Linked DNA regions of Macaca mulatta. The protein of the gene in region 2 interacts with the protein of the main gene of each other region in a biochemical or structural test. Links are inferred from orthologs where the notes say so. Each region holds a gene or a part of one and is shown on either strand. Other genes may lie near its edges. The genes, in order: TEK, ANGPT1 and TIE1.

The links.
Region 1: the proteins of ANGPT1 (region 2) and TEK form a complex in vitro, tested with the Homo sapiens proteins (6 studies listed by BioGRID and IntAct, with this or other methods). The link is inferred for Macaca mulatta from reciprocal best matches to the Homo sapiens genes ANGPT1 and TEK.
Region 3: the proteins of ANGPT1 (region 2) and TIE1 interact in a biophysical measurement, tested with the Homo sapiens proteins (2 studies listed by BioGRID and IntAct, with this or other methods). The link is inferred for Macaca mulatta from reciprocal best matches to the Homo sapiens genes ANGPT1 and TIE1.

Annotation. Positions count from the first base shown.
Region 1 is NC_133420.1:72,146,284-72,150,578, reverse strand, and holds the start of TEK (angiopoietin-1 receptor), read left to right. Parts: upstream 1-1,451; 5' UTR 1,452-1,592; coding exon 1,593-1,644; intron 1,645-4,295. UniProt on the Homo sapiens protein: Tyrosine-protein kinase that acts as a cell-surface receptor for ANGPT1, ANGPT2 and ANGPT4 and regulates angiogenesis, endothelial cell survival, proliferation, migration, adhesion and cell spreading, reorganization of the actin cytoskeleton, but also maintenance of vascular quiescence.
Region 2 is NC_133413.1:117,799,174-117,803,551, reverse strand, and holds the start of ANGPT1 (angiopoietin-1 precursor), read left to right. Parts: upstream 1-1,478; 5' UTR 1,479-1,811; coding exon 1,812-2,108; exon of another isoform or gene 2,109-2,243; intron 2,244-4,378. UniProt on the Homo sapiens protein: Binds and activates TEK/TIE2 receptor by inducing its dimerization and tyrosine phosphorylation.
Region 3 is NC_133406.1:197,351,122-197,354,740, forward strand, and holds part of TIE1 (tyrosine-protein kinase receptor Tie-1), read right to left. Parts: intron 1,853-3,619; coding exon 1,694-1,852; intron 1,530-1,693; coding exon 1,392-1,529; intron 1,219-1,391; coding exon 922-1,218; intron 392-921; coding exon 101-391; intron 1-100. UniProt on the Homo sapiens protein: Transmembrane tyrosine-protein kinase that may modulate TEK/TIE2 activity and contribute to the regulation of angiogenesis.

The DNA.
Region 1 (4,295 bases), on a different chromosome or scaffold from region 2:
TTTAGTAGAAGCTCTTGGAATGTAAATTGAGAGTGAATGGAAAGATGAAAGAAAGTAAATTTATTAACATTTAATGAGAACCTTCCATGAACTAGGCGTAGTACCAAATGGTTTTATATTTTTAAGCTTCATTTATTCGTCTCAAAACACCTGGTAAGGAAGTATTTTTGCCATTTTACAGCTGTTGAAACTGAGCCTCAAAAAGACTAAGTAACTTGTCTCAGCCACACATGTGGCTAAGCCAGTATTTGAACCCAGGTCTGTTTGCAGACAGAACCTGGGCTTTTTCACACCTGCAAACCGGAAACATTAATTGGTTCTTAAGATCAGCATAGATGTGATAAAACCTGGGACAGAAATTAGTCAAGACTAGCTGCATCTGCCTTTTCCTGTGGTTGGTAGGAAAAGGAGGAGGATAATGATTTCCTCAGGCATGAAGGTTGATGATGAGCAAAGTGTATACTCTCTAATCTAATGTCATAATTCATATTGTGGAGAAATTATCATCTGGATAAGTGTAGGGTCTCTGATCTCATTTTAGGTATTGTACATTCAATGGCTCTTTTCATTTTGGCCCATGTACTCTCTTTGCTCTTATGAGCACTATTTTTATCCCAATTTAATCCTGTATGTTTGTGTTTTTACACAGATTAGTTTCTAAATGTTATATATAATTTGCTTCTGAAACACCATTGCTCAATGACTATGAAATCCTTCTCATTACCAAAATCCTTCTATGCCAACTTCTTCAAGAAATTTGATCACCTTTAGATGAATTGTTAATGAAAATTAAAGCTATAGCCAGCAACATGGGTATCTTTGGGCTAATGGCCAACCAACAGGCCATCTGTGTGAAAGAAAACAGGCTAACAATTTTGGACTCTGGTCTCTTGGGGCTACGTTGAGCATTGACCTCACCGGTGCTCACTGAAATTAATTGCCTTTCAGGTTGTATTTTCTCATCACGGAAACCTTCTTTTCCCAATTCAAACCATGTGGGTTAAAATGAGAAAACAAAAGCCAAAACGGTTCCCCACACCCAAAAGCTTCTTCTGTCAGAGATCCCAGTAGCCCCGGGAGAGCTGTTAGAAGTCTGAGAAGGATTGGTCATCATCGCATACCATACATAGGTGGAGGGCTTGTTATTCTCAGTTTCCCGCCTATGAGAGGATACCCCTATTGTTTCTGAAAATGCTGACCGGGACCCACACTTCCAACAAAAATTCCTCTACCCCTACAGCAGCAGCAACAGCAGCAGCAGAAGCAACAGCAACAGATAAGTGTTTTGATGAATTGCGAGATGGATAGGGCTTGAGTGCCCCCAGCCCTGCTGATACCAAATGCCTTTAAGATACAGCCTTTCCCATCCTAATCTACAAAGGAAACAGGAAAAAGGAACTTAAAACTCCCTGTGCTCAGACAGAAATGAGACTGTTACAGCCTGCTTCTGTGCTGTTCCTTCTTGTCTCTAACTTGTAAACAAGACGTAGTAGGACGATGCGAATGGAAAGTCACAAACCGCTGGGTTTTTGAAAGGATCCTTGGGACCTCATGCACATCTGTGGAAACTGGATGGAGAGATTTGGGGAAGCATGGACTCTTTAGCCAGCTTAGTTCTCTGTGGAGTCAGCTTGCTCCTTTCTGGTAAGGTTTGGCTTTATTTTTTTTAAATTAGTATTTTTAAAAACAGAGTTAGTGACTTCTGGGTGCTCTCCCCAAATCTCATCAGTGCTGATTAACAAGGGGTGGCTGTAGCAAAGGCACCATTTCTCTGTGAGTCTCCAGTCAATATGTGTGGAAGGATTGAAATGCAAAGTCTCTGTGGCATGAACTGATTTTCTTAGAGTTTGTCTTCTGGGTGATTGGCCCCTGTGTTATAAACTCGTTGAGGACCGATTAAATCATCTTATTTGAAGAGATCTCCTTACTATCATGCATTATTTTCCTCTTCCTCATTCTGGAGTGTTTTTCTTACTGAATTTTTAAAGAACAAACCAGTTTTACCTACTTTAAAGAGAATCTTCAGTAAAAAATGAAAGTCATGTTGAGAAATACAGGGGCCCTATTAAGGCAGTGTATAGATTGTCACTGTTTTAAAGAGAACAAAAATGCTTTTCTGTGAAAAGATTTTATATTTATATCCTATTTTAAGCAAATTAATGAAATTGTAGGCTTTTTTTTTTTTTTTTTCCTTGTAGTTAGGGTCAGGGAGATTGGGGCCATTAGAATTTTTGTTTTAGTTTTAAAAATGTTTGCCATCTAGTAATTCATAAAGGGTTTACTGGCTCAATGAAGCAAAAATTTAGGCAGTTACCAAGATCGTTAACACAGGAGAGTATAGAAGCCTGTTGTAGAGTGGAGGAATGGTTGGCCAGTATGTTTGGATTTAGTGTGTTTATTGCTCAGATACTCCAGATAGTGGTGTGTCTCTGTGGCTCACTCAGCCTCTGTGACATAGGCAGAAGGCAGTATCCAAACCCCAACTACAGATCCCAAATACATTATCATTGCCATCAGTCTCTTTCCTTCAGTTTGAAAACATTCTAATTATAATGAAAATTGAATTGATATTGGAGATAAATTTGGGAAAATTCACTAAACTTCATGGATATAGGCTATATTAATAGAATTTGATTCAAGTATACATAAGTATCTGCTCTATTTTCTAGATGTTTGAAATATTTTAAATATTCAAAAAAAATCCAATTAAATAAGAGTTGAATACAATTTGTTTTATAGCTCTCAACCAACATATTGAGAATTTAATAATATTTTTAAAAGTAAGAATGTGTAACACAAGTTGCTAAAAATTAAAGATTTTAGGTGGCTTCAGTATTTATATGGAAATTGTTTAAATAATGTTGACTTCTCCAATAATATGTACCTTTAAATAATTACCATGATTCCATTTTTGATTTTCTTTTTTTCTGAGGGCCATTATTTACCAGTGACATAAAATCTGAAACTGATTCTATACCAGGGATTATAGTGATGTGAAGCCCAGGTGTCTAGAGTTTCTCTGAGGTACTTTGTAGGTTAAGTAATACACACACAACGGTTTTCATTCACTTTTTTGCCCCTAAAGCAACTATGTTATAGCACTGTGCAATACAGGCTTAGAAGAATTGTCATCAAACAAAAAGGTCATGTGGCCAAAATAGTTGCTCCATGTCTAGACCTTAGATCCTTGAAAAAAACAGCACTGCCTTTAAAAGGGAGAGGACCAAGGAGAGGAAGTAGGTCATATTCTTGTTGGGAAGGGTGACACTAGCAAGGTTAGTTTCTGAGGTAGGTCTGTTGTCTTGATTGTAACTTGCATTCCTAGTCTAAGCCTCCATGAGCCTGACTGCTTGAGGCTTGGTAATTGCAACGAGAAGAATCCAGCTAGATCATGTCCACAGCCATAGGAGCCCATTTCTCTAGTCAAACTCCTGGTAGACTACAGCAGTGGGGCAAGGCGCTTATGGCTTATAGGTTTATCTCTCTAGTCCAGTAGGTTGTTTCTCATTTCTTTTTTCTGAACCAACAGACTGAAGAAAGAAATGCCACTTTTTTTCAGTGAAGGTGGCTCTGGATGGCAGAGTTGCTGGCCCATAAAATGGCTGCAGGAGGTGTGTAGGTCTCAGAAGCTCCTCACAAATATTCCTAGATTCTGTTGCTTTCCTTTCTGACTTGAAAATCATTGCTAACTTCAGGTTTCAAACAGTTTCTATTATATTAGCTTTTCCCTACTCTCCTATCCTCATCAAACCAGGCTGCTCTCTTTAAAGAGTTGTATACATAGAAAACTAACAAAAAAATCACTGATTTATCATAGTATCTTCTACATGATCAACACTGATCTAATAGGAAGTCTCTAGTCTCATGCCTTCATACCCCTTTTACTGTGTCACTTGACTTTTTTTTTTTTTTTTTTTTTTTTGAGATGGAGTCTCGCTCTGTTACTCAGGCTAGAGTATAGTGGAGTGATCTCGGCTCACTGCAACCTCTGCCTCCCAGGTTCAAGCGATTCTGTGCCTCAGCCTCTCAAGTAGCTGGGATTACAGGCACCTGCCACCGCCATGCCCAGCTAATTTGTTGTATTTTTAATAGAGACGGGGTTTCACCATGTTGGCCAGGCTGGTCTTGAACTCCTGACCCTAAGTGATCCACCCGCCTCGGCCTCCCAAAGTGCTGGGATTACTGGCGTGAGCCACCACGCCCGGCCTTGTCACTTGACATTTTAAATAACAACTGGATTCAGAGATAGCAGACATCTTGTCTGGAGTGGCAGAGGAAACAGTTGTAAGGTCAGG
Region 2 (4,378 bases):
TGCAAAAGTGGTTCAAATATTTTATTGCCGTGTTTGGCATAACTTGCTTCCATATCTGTCCAATCAGAAATTTGTTATTTAGTGTGGAAAGGACTGATGAATCTCAGCAAGGTTTCTCTCCCCAAATAAATCGCATTAGTTCTGGAATTTGTTTTGACCTCTCCTCTAACTTCTCCCTAAATGCCCATCTCTAACCACTACCAACCTTCACCCACTGCCCTGTTCTCCTTCCAGGACATGGAGATGACAGCTGTGGCTTCTGTTTTTCCACTATGACTGCAGTTGCCTAAAAGCCCTCCCAGTTCCTAATGAAAATCCCAACTCATAGTTCATGTTTTCTGCATCTAGTAAACATCTCAGAGCCATTCCCTGAATTCTAAAATTATCGCCTCTTTATATTTACGGGTCCCTTTGTTCAAAGGTTTATACGCTGCCTTTGGGAAATCATCTTCTGATAATTTTTCTTTCTTCCTTCACAGAAGCACAGAGATGTCTCCTGTGCAGCCCATTGCTGGCTGTTAGCACACCTGATATACGCTTGTTCTTACATGGTGTGTCTGTGCAGCCACAGGAGGTTTTTATGTAAACTTCCATACCAGTGTTAAAGACAGCCGTAGCCACCAAAGAGATCCTTGTAAAATATAGGATTAGGATATACCACAGGAATTAATAATTCTCAAGCCACTGCTTTAAATTGTAGCCACATTGTTTTTGTAGGGAAGTTGCTCAGTTTATATACACGGAACACGAAGGGTTGCATTCTGATCAGGACACCAGTTTCATTTAAGACCCCTATACCAAAAGGTACTTAGATAATCCTCTTTAATATGCATATACTATATTGCTTTGTGCAACATATTGCTTTGAGCAACAAATGATGCTAATTTTCTTGCTACTTTGATCCTGATTATTTTCTTCAACTCCTAAAAGTCTAAGTGAATACGATGAAAGAATACCCCCTGTAAAAATTGTTATTTTACATATTTTTCCTCAGAGTCAAGAATACATGTTTTTAAAAGACATTTAATAATGATACGGGTTTATCATTCTCTATCAAAAATAATTTCATTGGACATCATGCCAATTTTCTTCTTAGGGTCCCTCGACTAAATAGTAACTTTAAAAACATACTGCTAGTTGGCTGTATTTTAGTAGGTCAGCATGCACACCAAAAGTGTATTAAGGTGGACTGCTCTATTTATTGATTTGCCTTGAATCTGTTAAAGGCTCAAGGCAATTGTCTGCGGAAGGGGGCGGGAGGGCCATACATGATCGAGGTCATGCGCATCTAGCCAATTTGTAAGACGATCCTGCCGCCCTAAGCCATCAGCAATCCTTAGCATAGGGGCACACTCACGCATTCCTGTCAAGTCATCTTGTGAAAGGCTGCCTGCTTCCAGCTTGGCTTGGATGTGCAACCTTAATAAAACTCACTGAGGTCTGGAAGAAAATAGCAGATCTGAAGCAGATAGGGTAGAGGAAAGAGTCTAGAATATGTACACGCAGCTGACTCAGGCAGGCTCCACGCTGAACGGTCACACAGAGAGGAAACAATAAATCTCAGCTACTATGCAATAAATATCTCAAGTTTTAACGAAGGAAAATATCATTACAGTGAAATAAAAAATTTTAACATTTTAGAACAAAGCTAACAAATGGCTAGTTTTCTATTATTCTTCTTCAAACGCTTTCTTTGAGGGGGAGAGAGTCAAACAAACAAGCAGATTTACCTGAAATAAAGAACTAGTTTAGAGGTCAGAAGAAAGGAGCAAGTTTTGCGAGAGGCACGGAAGGAGAGTGCTGGCAGTACAATGACAGTTTTCCTTTCCTTTGCTTTCCTCGCTGCCATTCTGACTCACACAGGGTGCAGCAACCAGCGCCGAAGTCCAGAAAACAGTGGGAGAAGATATAACCGGATTCAACATGGGCAATGTGCCTATACTTTCATTCTTCCAGAACACGATGGGAACTGTCGTGAGAGTACGACAGACCAGTACAACACAAACGCTCTGCAGAGAGATGCTCCACACGTGGAACCGGATTTCTCTTCCCAGAAACTTCAACATCTGGAACATGTGATGGAAAATTATACTCAGTGGCTGCAAAAAGTAAGTGATTGCTTTCAGTTTCTAATAGCACGGAGCTTTTTCCGTTCTTGCACTGCAGCTAACTTAAAGTTCCTTAGGGGCGCATTTGTGTGTTTACCTTTTGCTCCAGGGGGGCAGTGTTTGCAATTGCAAGACGGCTGTCTGGGTTTGGCTTCCTGGGTAAGCCAAGGTTTGGGGGCTTGCGCAATCCTATGAATGTGTGGGGGCACCCCGTGTGTGTCTAGCCCTGGTAAATTTTATGACATTTCTGGTTTCTCTTGTTTAAAGTTCAGCATTAAGAGTCTTTCTGTCAAAACTCTACCTTAAGAAAGAAAGCATGTACCTCTTAAGCAAGTTGGTGAAAAATAAATAATCGTAATGACTATACTAATTAATAAGATCAAATCGATTTTGCACCAGAAAATTTTGTGCCACTGGGGTGGCAAATCATCACAAAGTATTTGTTTTTTTTTTTTAACCTTTAGAAAAATTAACATGAAGTGAGAGTAAATGTAAAATATGATATTTGGTTGGAGAAATTGTATATTTATGTAAAGGGAACCGTTAATTTCAGCAAGTGGTAGAATAGTAGAGGACTGATTTCTGTTAAATATTTTTTCTTCTGTCCTTGAGAAAAAAAATTTTAAAAAGATACGTTGTAATGTGAACTGTCAGAAAGGGCTTGCTTGCTCACAATGAGAACACGCTGGCTGTTGAGGAAGACATGCACCTGCAGATTTGGGCTGAATGCAACATGTAGTCTCTACTATATTCCTGAAACACCTCCCTTCTCAGGGCATTGTAGTTACAGAGACAGTACCTGGCGAGTTTACGTATCCATGTTATTTGATGAATGTTAATGTCGAGTATGAATGTAAACTCAATTTATAGAAATCAAATCAAATAGTTTATCCAGTTATTTATCTACAAACCATTTAAAAGTTTTTGTTGAAGATATGCCTATTAAATTATGAACACACTTCTGCAATTCATTCTGTCTTTGCACTCTGTTTAATAATAGGCAGCCGAGAATAAGTATATTCCACTGACTATGCCACTAGAATGGAGGCAATGTCCCAATTTGTGAAAAGCTTCTCTCCCTCGTTAATGGATTTACTTGGTACATATAAATAGGTATGCAATCAGGCTTCTTTAAGTTAGTCTGTAAACGAGGCAATCCCTTTAAAAAGATAAAAGATAGGGAAAGGACAAATGCTCTATTTTGTTCCTGTGTGATCACACTCGCTTAGGTCATCGCCTGCTGAATCATGCCAAGTAATAGTTATTCTACTTTTGTCCACTAGGGACTGAACTAAGATCACTGTTATTTTATTTGACACATTAACTGGAACTTAGTAGTTCTACAGTTTCCAAACCTGATATTGTAATCTTTCTATTACAGACTATAGGACTGTAATACGCAATCAGTAGGTAGGTAGAAGAATAAAAAGCAAACAGAACTCTCGGTTTTTTTTCAATTGTAGCTTAAATTTTAGGCACTGCTTTCAATAGTAGTTTATAATAGGATGTTTGTATTTTTCTTTGGTAAAACTTATTTCCATTGTAAACAAATGATTTTGGTTGAATAGCTTGTTGTTATTCTTCAGTACACCATCCATATAGTTTTTAGTGAGAATCCAATCATATATTAGTCTGGATTCTTTGAGGGAATGGGGAGGAAAATTTAGTCCCAAGTTACCCCGAATGATCTATTCTACCAAAAACGTAATGTTTTGTTTGCTTAAAACGCATAATCAAAATAGTGATTCAAACATAGTAATGCATATTTCTTGTTGCTATGCAATTATTCAGCAGTGACAGGGTAAACACATAATTCTGCTGGGCTTAAATCATGCACGTGTTTCATATGTTAATTTATTTTGCAAAATAAATTTGATTCTTGTTTGCATTGTTCTTGGTCAATGATTGTGGGATAGCTTTCAGATTATAGCCAAGAATAACTATTAAAATGTTCTTTGGTTACATTGACCCTTTCAAGTGTAAATATCAAGCTGAATATATGCTGAAAACGTCCCTATTGGTATGAGTCAGAGCAGTGTGGCTTGACTATTGTCAGTTTAAATTTGCATATCTTTTGTCATTGTCAATGTGATTGGTTGGAGGATCAAGAAACCAAATAAATGCATTCAACAAAGAACTTGCTAAAGGCTTTCATAAGTTTCCCTTAATTAGGAGTTTTCTTCACTCCAAGTTCTAAAATTCATGTGATGTATTGATTCTGATAATAGAAATGGGAATCTTTTTACTGTAACTATTTGGTATGCTCAGTA
Region 3 (3,619 bases), on a different chromosome or scaffold from region 2:
TGGGATGCCCTAGTTCCACAGCAGGGGGTGATGTGGAGGGAGAGCACACTGAGCTCTCCCCACTCAGAGCCCGGGGGTCCTGTGGGCCTTCCCCTCTCACCGTTGCCCAGGGTGGACTCTTCTACTGTGTTGCTCCAGTCCCCGAGCCCCTGAATGCCGGCCCGCACGCGGAAGAGGTAGCGCGTGCTGGCGTTGAGGCCACGGATGATGGTGCTTGTCTCCTCAGGCCTGTCCACGTCTATCCACAGTGGCTCTCCTGCACCCCCAGCCACCTGCACCTCCACAACGTACTTGGATATCGGCCCAGGCAGAGCCTCCGGGTGCTGCCATGTCAGCTGGATCTCGGAGTCTGAGAGAGCCTGGGCGTGGAGGTGTCGGGGGGCTGGAGGCCCTGAGGAGATGGGGGCGGGAAGGCAAGGCTCAGACGGGACTGGGCTATGTAGCTGTGGCGCTGGACACATCTGCTCTAGCTGTGCCCCCTGCTCTGTGGGTCCACGCACAGGAGCCACCCTGCCAACTTCCTCCTCCCCACCAGCCTGAATTCCTCTCCATTCCCCCAGGCCACCTTCACCCCCAAGCTTCTGCTTCTCCTTGTACTACTTGTATCCCAAGTCCTCTCCACATCCTCCCATGCCCCCTGCTCCCCAAGTCTCTTGCCCTCCCATGACCCTGGTTCTCGCCATGAACCCTGACCTCCCCATGCTCTCCCCACATGCTCCTGGTGATCTGTGTCCTCCTGGTATCCTGGATCTTCCCCAAGTCCCATGTCCCCGCTGGGGTCACGTCTGCCTAATACCCTAGCATGTCCCATGTCCTCTCCATGTCCATTAATCTATAGCCTCCTGTGTCTCCTAGGTCTCATGTGTCCCTGCGTCCCACGTCCTCCCCCAACCCCCAGCTATCCCTGCGCCCTGGGCATACCACTGGGGGGCAGAAGCACGTGTGCAGGGGGCGAGGCTGGGCCCAGGAGGGTGCAGTGGTAGAGCTGCACATCCAGCTGGTAGTGAGTGCCAGGCGTAAGTCCCGTCAGGAGGGCAGTGCGGGCCTGGGGGGATGAGACGTTCTCCCGCCGCTCCTGCCCCCGTGTCCCGTCCCACAGGCGCAGCAGGAAACCGTCGCCCACCAGTGGCCCGGGCACCAAGGGCAAGGACCAGCTCACTCGCAGCCGGTCAGGGCCTTCCACATGCCAGCCCTCCAGCCACGGCTGCAACAAAGGCTCTGGGGCCAGAGGTCAGGGGTCAGAACTGTCCAGTAGGTACTTGGGGCTGGACAGGACAGTGATCCCCAGTGAACAAGGAAGAACAACCTCCAATGGAAAAGGCAGGGGTCCCTGGGGTGGACAGGACAGTAACTGCTGGGGGGACAGGAAGAGATGACTCTTGGCCTCTCACCAGGACAGTCTGTGGTCATGAGGGTGGGAGGCCCCCAGGCCCCCTCTCCTCCTTCCCCTGGCCGGCTCAGCTGCACACGAACACTGTATCCTGTCTTTGGCCTTAGGTTCATTAATGTCACGTTCTCACTGGGGTCCACTGGGGGTGGGGTGTACAGCACACATCATTCAGCCCCCACCTCTTCTAGAAGCTGCCATGCTCCCTTCAGCCCCCTCAAACCATTTGCCCTCCCTCTCCTGCTCACCGTATCCCTTCACTATTACCCAACACCCCTGTCCTGCCCCAGCTCTCTCCCTACTCACCCACAATGGTCGACCAGTCCATGGTACTGTCCTGGGGCCGGTAGTGCAGGCGGACGGAGGAGATGGGTCCATCACCAGAGAACGAGACCAGCGGGGAGACCACAAGCTGGCGGCTCTGCTTGGTCAGGAGCCGAGGTGCAGCCAGGGGCACGGGGGGCACTGCCAGGAGACTCAGGGTAAGGCATGGGCACACAGCCTATCCAGTCCACTTCTGTGTCTTATTTCAAGCTGGGGACCCTCTGGGCTTGAGGGACACCAAGTTCAACAGATGACCATAGTGGCCAGGGCCCAGGAAGGACAGAGTTCAGGCCCCTGGGTAGCTTGGGGCACAAGGATTCAGCAATAAAAGCATGAGGGTGTCCCAAAAGATAGTAGATGAGGAAGTGACATGGCCAGACATGGTTTGGGGGTGCACTCTTCCCATGCAGTGTGGGGGTAGACAGAAGGGGCTGAAACCCAGGGCAGGGAGACAACCTGGGCATCATCCTGCTCTCTGCCCCTGCTCTCATTCACCACTCTCTTAATTTAAAAAAATGGCACCGGCACTGAAGCACCTGCTCCCCACCACATGCTTCATAGTATGACCTCTAATTCTCACAGCCACCTTTCCGTCAGGGCTCATTAGCCTGCATTATGAAAACACTGAGACTCAGAGACACCGAATAACTTGCCTAAGGACACACAACTAGGAGGAGATACAGCCATGTGTTGAACTAGGTCTGTCTGCACAGGCCGCCTGGATCTATCCATTCTACTCCAAAACAGCCTTCGTGTCCCTGTCCCACTTCCTCACCCCATGATCGCTGTTGCTATTCTGGACTCAACTTTTTCTCTCCAGATGATTGCATTAGTGCTTTTAACAGGTTCCCTTGACTCTTACAAATGTTTATGAGACTGGCTTTTTGAGAGGAAAGGAAGGAAGGAAAGAGGGAGGGAGCAAGGGAGGAAAAGGATGCAGCGCTGTAAGCTGAGGGAGTGTCAGGCAGCAATAAGCATGTCAGGAGGCGGTGCTGATTTGGGGGGAGAAGAAGGTCCATTTTGGGTGCGGAGAAGCCCTTGGTGCCTTTGTCTCATGCAGGGGATTAGATGTCCAGGGAGTGGCTGGATATAAAATGGGCCTCTGAATCATACAGCAGCCACTTTCCACACTAACTTCAAAACCAGACTTCCAGAGAAGATGCCCCACTTCATGGAGGCCCCACCAAATGATCTGGAGTCAGAAGAGGGGTCCCAGCTGCAGATCATATGTGAGAGCTGCTAGAAAACAATAAAAATCTAGGGACTAGGTGACATTTTAAATAATAAGAACAATAATTATCAACATATATTGAGCATGCACCCTGTATTGGGCACTGTGCTAAATGCTTAAATGCATCATCTAATTTAATCTTCCTAACAACCCCATCAAGTGCTAACTATCCCCATTTCACAGAGAGAGAAACAAAGTAAGAGAGGTTAAGTACTTTGCTTAAGGTGATGGGGCAAGGAATTTGTGGAGAGAGGGTTCAAGCCCAGGTTGTCTGGCTCCTAAGCCTGGGCAGAGTGAGAAGAGAAAGGCGGAAGGTGGGGCATGATGGCAGAGAGGGATGCACAGTCACAGGATGGGGAGATGGCGAGGACCTGGGAGGCAGAGTGTGGCAATGAGAAAGCAGAAGGTGAGAGAGGGGGCTTACATGGGGTAACAGGAAGCAGGAGGAGAGGGACAGCAGGGTCACAGGGTGGCCGGGGTGCAAACGGTTAAGGCTTAGGGTGCTGGAGAAGCTGGAGAAGGTGAAGGGACTGGGAGTGGGGGGTGCTCTGGTCTGAGTAATCTTGGGCACTGGGAGGTCCCTCCTTATTTACCTGGCAGATTCCTAGGCATGCACCACTTCTAGGAAGCCAAGCTGGTCACCCTCTGAGCTCCACAGCCCCATGTGCTCCCCCTGG